Linked DNA regions of Cricetulus griseus. The protein of the gene in region 1 purifies or fractionates together with the protein of each later gene. This does not show direct contact. Links are inferred from orthologs where the notes say so. Each region holds a gene or a part of one and is shown in the gene's direction. Other genes may lie near its edges.

Region 1 (3,646 bases):
CATGACTACATAGAAACCCTCTTGTAAAGCCTTTGTTATGTAGTATATCACCATCTGCTACTTCTTCATTTTGTTTGGTAAGAACTTTGGGGGAGAGAATATTTGTCTTTCTGGGAGAACATTTTCAAGCATTGTTGAATGAGCTGAATGTGGTAGTGTACCCCTCCAGCACTTGGGAGCTGGATGTAGGTGAATTGTTAGCTCAAGATCATCCTTAACTACATAGAGTTCAAGACCAGTAATACTTCTCAAACATAAATGTTTCTATGAAAGACATAATAACTCAACTGCATTAATTAAGAATTACTGTAATTCTTTGATAACACTAATAGGCCAGTAGTGGTCTTTACTTTGTGGAGCATATTAGCTGTTATGTAGTTACATTGTTTTCTGTTTTGGGTTTTTTTATGTTTGTTTTGTTTTGTTTTTTGTTTTTGTTTTTGTTTTTTGTTTTTGGTTTTTGGTTTTTCAAGCAGGATTTCTCTGTATTGCTTTGGAAGTTGTCCTGGAACTGGCTCTGTAGATCAGGCTGGCCTCGAATTCATAGAGACCCGCTCAACTCTGCCTCCCAAGTGCTGGGATTAAAGGCATGTGACACCACCGCCTGGCTATACAACATTCAATCTCTTGTGGGCTTTAATTATCTGTGGCCTTAACAACTAAGTATAGAAATTACAGGACTTAACAGTCCATGAGTAGGACGTCAGGATGAATTGCTTTCCAATTCTAACCCCTGAATGTTGAGAGAAATGTACATAAGGTTATAGGTTATACTAAGTAGCTTTGATGAAAGATTAAATTTCTTAATGACTGACATATATATTTGAGCACTCATAATTTTTCTTCTCATGGGTAAAAATAACCTAGCTCCTTGAATTTTCCTAAGGTACAAAATAAAACCAGGTTTTTCTGAAGGGTGGACAGAAAAGTTCTGAACTTGAGAAAAGTTCTGAAAAATTGTTCAGTTAAAGTTTGTGTAAGAGCACATAAAATTGTACTTAAAAGAGTGCATATCTTAGTTTTCTGATGCTATGACAAATCCCTGCAGTGATGCGTTTTTCAATAGGTAAGGTTTGTTTGGGCTCTTGGTTTTAGAGTTCCAGTCTATGATCCATTGACTCTGTTGCTTTGGTTGAGGCAGCACATCCTGATGAGAGCACACGCAGAGCCAAAACCACTTAATCTTGTTGTCAGGGAACAGACAACAAGTAAAAGAGTGACAGGAGGCTGGTGTCTAAGTAAGTGATTCCACTTAACCTAATTCTACTTAGACTCTCTCCTAAAGATGCAGCTGTCTCTTAGTGCACAGTACTATTGAACAAACCTCAGAGCTTTGTGGACCTTTTGAAATCCATGCTATAACATATTTTCTGTCTTATTTGTCAAGGAGTAAGGAAATGATGGAAATCAAAGGGAAAAGCTATGTATCACAGGAAAAGAGCATTTCCACCATCTTTGGGAAACGTTGATCATCTGTAATGGTTTGCTAAGTCAGTGGGCAGTGGCAAGTGGAAACAGTGACAGGGCAACATCAAGGTGAAGAGTTAACTAAAACTTGACCTGGGGACTCTCTGGCATCTATGTAAACACTGGGTAGATATAGAGGCTAACACAATCTTAGCCTTTGAGAGGTGCATACAGGGACAAGCTGGCTAGCTAGACTAGCTGAAAACATAAACTCTGTTCAGTGAGAGTCACTGTCTCAAAGTGGGATCCAATTGAGGAAGACACCTCAGGCCTCCATATGTATGTGTAAACAAGCACCTGCACACATGTGCCCATATGCATGTACACATTCATGCACCACACATACAAAATTAGGGGTAACTTATAGTAATACTGTGTCATGAATAGTGGAGGAAAGTATTTTTAAATGATTTTAGTTAATGAAATAATCATACTAATTTTTTATATTTTATAGAATATATTCTAAATTTCATCAAAAACGGATGGAAGAACTAACAGAAGTTGGCCTCCAGAACTTTTTCAGTCTTTTTCTACTGCTAGCAGCTGTTGCAGAGATAGAAGATGTAGCCAGCCATGTTTTAGACCTCCTTCGTTTCCTCAGGCCTGCCTCCACGTCATCTCATAGAGCCCTTGTTTGGAAGGGTCAGATGGCATTCCTCCTGATGTATGCACAGAAAAATCTGGACATTGGTGTTTGGGTTGAGAAATTGTCATGTGAGTTCCAAGAAAAAGCAAAGGAATTCTTGGTATCTAAGAACGATGAAATGGTACAGAGGCATACTCTATGGACACTGCTTTGCATCTATATTGATGGTGTTCAAGAAGTATTTGAGACCAGCTGTTGTTTATACCCTTCTCACGAGCATCTTCTCAATGATGGATTTAGCATGTTACTGCGAGCCTGTCGAGAACCTGAACTTAGGACAGTGCTGAACTTTCTGCAAGCTGTTCTGGCCAGAGTCAGGTATGTTTTCCATCAAGTGCTTGTGAGCTTCACTTTTCACATACATACATACATACATACATACATACATACATACATACATACATACAACAAAGTGTAGGTGAAAGAGGTGATTTTTCCTCTACACTGGCATAAATCATTAGTTTTCAAACAGTAGTTCTTCACAAGAAAGCTTTTTATCGAGATACAGGCAACAAAAGTGGAACAGCCCTGGTCTGTTCTAGAACCTTTCCTTCTGTATCACCTCTGAAATGTGTAATTACAAAAAGAGGTGTGCTAGTCTGAGCAAGACCTTGAGTTCAAGTTTGAGGTTACTTTTATAGAAACCTGTGGTATTTTGTCCCCATAGGGAGGTTTTTGCTATAATGTACTATTTTATTTTAATATTTATTATTGAGAGATGTGTGTGTGTGTGTGTGTGTGTGTGTGTGTGTGTGTGTGTGTAATGCATGGATGTGAGTAGGTGTGCACTTTCTGTGGCAGCTCAATTTTCTGTCCTCCCGATGGAGAATCTGGGGGTCAGATTCAGGTTATCAGGTTTGCACTGTAAAGACCTTTATGGCTAGCCGTCTCTCTACCTCCCACATTGTACTATTTTTTTTTTAAAGTGGTTTTAAGTTGTAGTTGAAACATTATTTGTAATCTCAATGCCTCAAATATTTCCTTCTGAGTCTGTATATTCTGAAATTAACGTGTTGTTTTTAACATAAAAAAATATTCAAGGGGCCGGGCACACGGCCTTGAATATTGGTGGCACACGCCTTTAATCCCAGCACTCGGGATTAAAGCAGGTGGATCTCTGTGAGTTCGAGGCCAGCTTGGTCTTCAGAGCAAGTGCCAGGATAGGCTCCAAAGCTACACAGAGAAACCCTGTCTGGAAAAACCAAAAAAAAAAAAAAAAGTATTGAAGGCTTATGGTTTGTGTCAATATAATTTGTACAGATATATTTATAGATATAATCAGAACACAACTTTAAGATGGATACAAACTATATTTTTGAATTTTTGTCATTTTGTAAGTTTTACTTTTCAAGTATATGAAGGTTTTTGTTTGTTTGTTTGTTTGTTTTGGTTTTGTCTTTCTGAGACAGGGTTTCTCTGTATCCGTGGCTGTCCTGGAACTTGCTTAGTATACCAGGCTGGCCTTGAAGTCAGAGATATGCTTGCCTCGGCCTCCCAAGTGCTAGGATTAAAGATGTGAGCCACCATGTGAAA
Region 2 (4,179 bases), on another chromosome or scaffold:
CCAAAAATTTCTCACTGAATAAAAGGATGCAGGATAGCTCATTAGCATTTTTATACTGATAATGTTTGAAATTAGCATTTTTGTTCTATTGAGTTAAATGTAATACTAAAATCAATCTCTCATCGTTTCTTGGCCTTTTAAGGATGGTCAAATGTGAAAACCAATTTATCTATTCATTTACTTCCCCAAAATCACTGTGTAAACCAGGCAGGCCTTGAACTCGCAGACGTCTGCCTACCTCAGGCTCCTGAGTGCTGGGATTAATGGATATACACCGGCACTCCAGGCGTTTTGTTTTGTTTCCTTTAAAAGACTTATTAGTAAAAGGTCTGTGGCTAGCATTATTTCTCACTGGTTGTATGTGTAAGAGACTGTGGCAGGGTTAGGGAGCCAGAGGGGCATGGAGTGAAGACCGCATTATATCGTCATAAATAGTGGCAGTTAACTTTCTTCTGTTTTTGTTTTTTCCAGACAGGGTTTCTCTATGTAGCCCTGGCTGTCCTCGAACTCAAGAGACCCGCCTGCCCCCGCCTCCGGAGTGCGCCACCACCCCAGGCCTTCGCAGTGAATTTTTCAACCGGTTGGAAAACAGGCTGGAGAGAGGATCCAAACCCTGGTACGTCGACGAACTTCAACTCCTTTCGGACCGGGACTCCATCCTGGGTCCCCACTCGCTGCCGCGCCATCTTGTCTCAGGGGTGCTCCAAATGTTCACGGCCGCTGTCCTCAAGGCCAGGAGTCCCTCAGAGGAGCTCCCGGAAACGCTCACCAGCGGACAAACGGAGGCCAGAGCGCCGCCATCACGCTTGCCTCTTCATGCTTTTCACTGAGCCGGAGGGCGGCTTCCAGCGCAGCCCTCCTTGTGCCGCGACATTAGCCAATCACATCTCAGAAGCCTACTGAAGCCCCGCCCCGTGGTCGCTAGTCAATCACGGCGAGTTCTGGCTCCCTTCTTTCAGCGCTCTTAAGTAAGAGTCGCGCGCCACCGTTCGGCCGTTAGTGGCTCTGCTCTCTGTGGGGTGTGCCTACCGGAAGAGCAGAATGAGGGGGCGGGTCACGCCGATGCGGTAACCCTTGGGATTGGACAAGAGAAGTTCCGCGCTCTAACTCCGCCCACCCCGGCGCAAGATATTCGAGTCGGAGACGCTAGGGATTGGTTCCGGATGGACACTTTGCGAAGCTAAAAGATGATCGTTCCGCCTCCCGCGGACCGTGAAGAGGAAGCTTCTCTGATTGGTCCGCGGGTCGAGGCGCAAACCGGAAGAAGCCTCAGGATTGGCTGGCGGGGCTCTCGCGCCGTCATAGATCCTTAGCGGCGATTGGCTGGAGGGTGGAGTCAGCTATTTGAAGGCCGCGCGCGGACGCGAGACGCTCTTTAGAGAAGAGTTGGAGTCGCTGAGAGGTTCTCTGCCTCGGCGACCTCCTCTTCCCCAGCCGCCATTGGCTGCGCAGGACACCGGAGAAGGCTCCACTGCAGCTGTGACCCCCTGGCGAGGTGATGGCCAAGGTGTCGGTGCTGAACGTGGCTGTCCTGGAGAACCCGAGCCCTTTCCACAGCCCCTTCCGGTTCGAGATCAGCTTCGAATGCAGTGAGGCCCTGTCTGACGGTGAGGCTGGGCCTGTGCAGGGGACCCCAAACCCTCTTGCCCTCATTTTTGCCACTCCCAGCCTCCCCGGGAACTTCTCCACTCAGAGATAAGCCTCCGTGGTCCAACTCGGTGGATAGGATCCAGTGCACGGTAACCTGCACTGTCTCGTGGAGGCACCCCTCGTCCTGAACCACTTGTCCTTGGCACCTTTTCTTTGTAGTGGTGTAAGCCTCCATCTAGCGTGTAAGAGACCGCGGCTACGCCTTCTTCCCAATGGCTAGACTCCATTTTCATGCCTATTTCCCCATAGAAAACCTCCCATCTATTCTCTCTTCCATGGAAACCCAACCTCCAGTACCCTCCCCCATTTTCCTTATGGACGGCTTTTCTACAGACCAGCAGACCCTCCTCTTGCTACCCTGTCTGCCCATGGCAAGACCTCTTCCACCCCATTTGTCTCCCATCGATACCATCCCCAGACATCTCCACATTTGTCCCTAGCAACTCCTCCTAGCCAACTGTAACGTCATGGCTGTTGTCCAGACCGGGGCCTCTCTTTAGGTTAGTACCATATCCTATGCATGACCTTCCCCCGGGGAGGGATGGGGTCTTCTGGCTCTTTGTAGATAACTTGGCCTCCCCAGCTCCTGGTCTGGGATTGGATGAACACTCGGGAAAGGGGTGCTACAGCCAGGCAGGCCTCTGCCAGTTTTGGGATTTCTACCAGCTTCCAGCAGACTCAGTGTAAGGAATCCCTCCTTCCTTTTGATGGGCTGACCTGGTGGTGGTGGGGGGTGACTGACCAAACAGGGATGGGATTCAACTTCAGTCAGCTGGGGAGAGAGACCGCTGGCCTTTGTGAATCTTTCACAGAATGACTTCATTCATCTGCAGGACATAAAGGTGGACGTGGCTGTTAGATGACAGGACAAGGGCCACAAAGACCAAAAGACCTTTGAAATAAGTCTGTGAACACATTAACCATGAGGTCACTTTGTAGTCTCAGCTCCACAGCAAGGCAATGTGTAGCATGTTTAATAAAAACCCAGAGACAGATATTGGGGTTAAAGCTGAAGATCAGAGAAGCAAAGTAGCCAGCCACTAGCTCTTACCTCTACCTCAGACAGAAAGGGTGATCCTGTCCTTAGATTGCATGTCCAGACTGTACTGCTGCTCAGACTGCCTCAGACTGCACATCCTTGTCTCCTCCCGCCTTATAGTCCTCTCTATTGATGGGATTAAAGGTATAGGATCCCAAGTGCTGAGATCACCTTTCTTTGAGCTCTGTTTCTCTTTCAGACTGGCTCAATTTTGTGTAGCTCAGGTGGCCTCGAACTAACAGAGCTCTGTCTGCTTCTGTATCCCAAGTGCTGGGATTAAAGGTGTGTACCACCACTGCCTGGCCTCTATGGCTAGCTAGTGTGGCTAGCTTTGCACTCTGATCTTCAGGCAAGCTTTATTTGTTAGATCATAAACAAAATATTAACACTAGGCAAGTCCTGCTTTTAGGAGGAAACACTCCTCATTTTCCTACTGAGGGTTGAAAGATGTAGCAGCTGAGGAGGTGGAGCTCTGAGAGGCTAGGTTGTGAAAACTAGTGCCTCTTGGTGGCTGTGGTTGGTGTTCAGACAAATCCAGCCACTTCTGTTCACCTGGAGCTGCTATAATGTGTGCTTGGGGTGGGCCACTGGCTGATCCTCTCCCTAGTTTCTCCTTAAGTTTAAAGGAATCTACTTGTGGCTTAACTATAGAATAAAGCTGGGTTAAATCCTTGCTGGAACAAGGTAGGGTGTAAATAAATAAAATATAGGGTAACAATGTGGGATAAGATTTATTTGGAAGCCAAGAGGAGACATAAATCAATGGAATCACAGTTCCCAGATGCTGAGAGAGCAGGTTTCAATCAGCCTGAGTGTGCTCTTTGCAAATAAAAATGGTTGCATGGTCATTACCTAATATTACTTTGATTCCTTATTTATGGAATTAGGACATCAAGGCTAAAGTCAGCTGCTGGCCATTGTAATACGAGCAGGATGATTTCTCCAAGTCAGCCAGACAGTAAAGTGTTACCACTGAAGTTTGTTTCTGAGTTCAGATTTTTTTTTTAATTTTATTTTTTGAATTTAATTTGTGGGTGTGGGCTAGAGACACCAGATGGTCTTCCTCAACTGCTCTTCATTGCTCTGTACCATTTTTTTTTCTTTAAAAAAAAAAATGTGTGTGTTTTGTCTACATGTATTTATGGTACCACTTGAGTGCTTGGTACCACAGAGTTTAAGAGAAGGAGTTGGGTGTCCTGGAACTGGAGTTACAGACTTTGGGAGTCACCATGCAGATGGTGGGAACCTGCCTGGCCTCTAGGAGAGCAGCTAGTGCTCTTAACCCATGGGCAGTCTCCAGCCCTGTTCTACCTATTTTAATCTCTGCAAAACCTGGAGCTCTAACACTACTAGGCTGGCTGTCTAATGAGCCAGGAACCCACCATCTCTTCCTCCTCAATAGTGGGGGTTTTGTTTGTTTGTTTTTTGAAACAGGATTTCACTACATAGTTCTGGCTGGCCTAGAACTCACAGATCTTTGATCTGTTTGT

Evidence for each region. Proteins that work in one complex are often made in the same cells at the same time.
Region 2: the proteins of Mms22l (region 1) and Asf1b purify together in Homo sapiens (co-immunoprecipitation; 4 studies listed by BioGRID and IntAct, counting the BioPlex papers as one, with this or other methods). This does not show direct contact. The link is inferred for Cricetulus griseus from reciprocal best matches to the Homo sapiens genes MMS22L and ASF1B.

The regions. Positions count from the first base shown.
Region 1 is NC_048595.1:117,128,835-117,132,480, reverse strand, and holds part of Mms22l (protein MMS22-like), read left to right. Parts: intron 1-1,921; coding exon 1,922-2,431; intron 2,432-3,646. UniProt on the Homo sapiens protein: Component of the MMS22L-TONSL complex, a complex that promotes homologous recombination-mediated repair of double-strand breaks (DSBs) at stalled or collapsed replication forks.
Region 2 is NC_048596.1:160,459,116-160,463,294, reverse strand, and holds the start of Asf1b (histone chaperone ASF1B), read left to right. Parts: upstream 1-1,341; 5' UTR 1,342-1,498; coding exon 1,499-1,607; intron 1,608-2,109; exon of another isoform or gene 2,110-2,150; intron 2,151-2,215; exon of another isoform or gene 2,216-2,251; coding exon of another isoform or gene 2,252-2,333; intron 2,334-4,179. UniProt on the Homo sapiens protein: Histone chaperone that facilitates histone deposition and histone exchange and removal during nucleosome assembly and disassembly. Cooperates with chromatin assembly factor 1 (CAF-1) to promote replication-dependent chromatin assembly.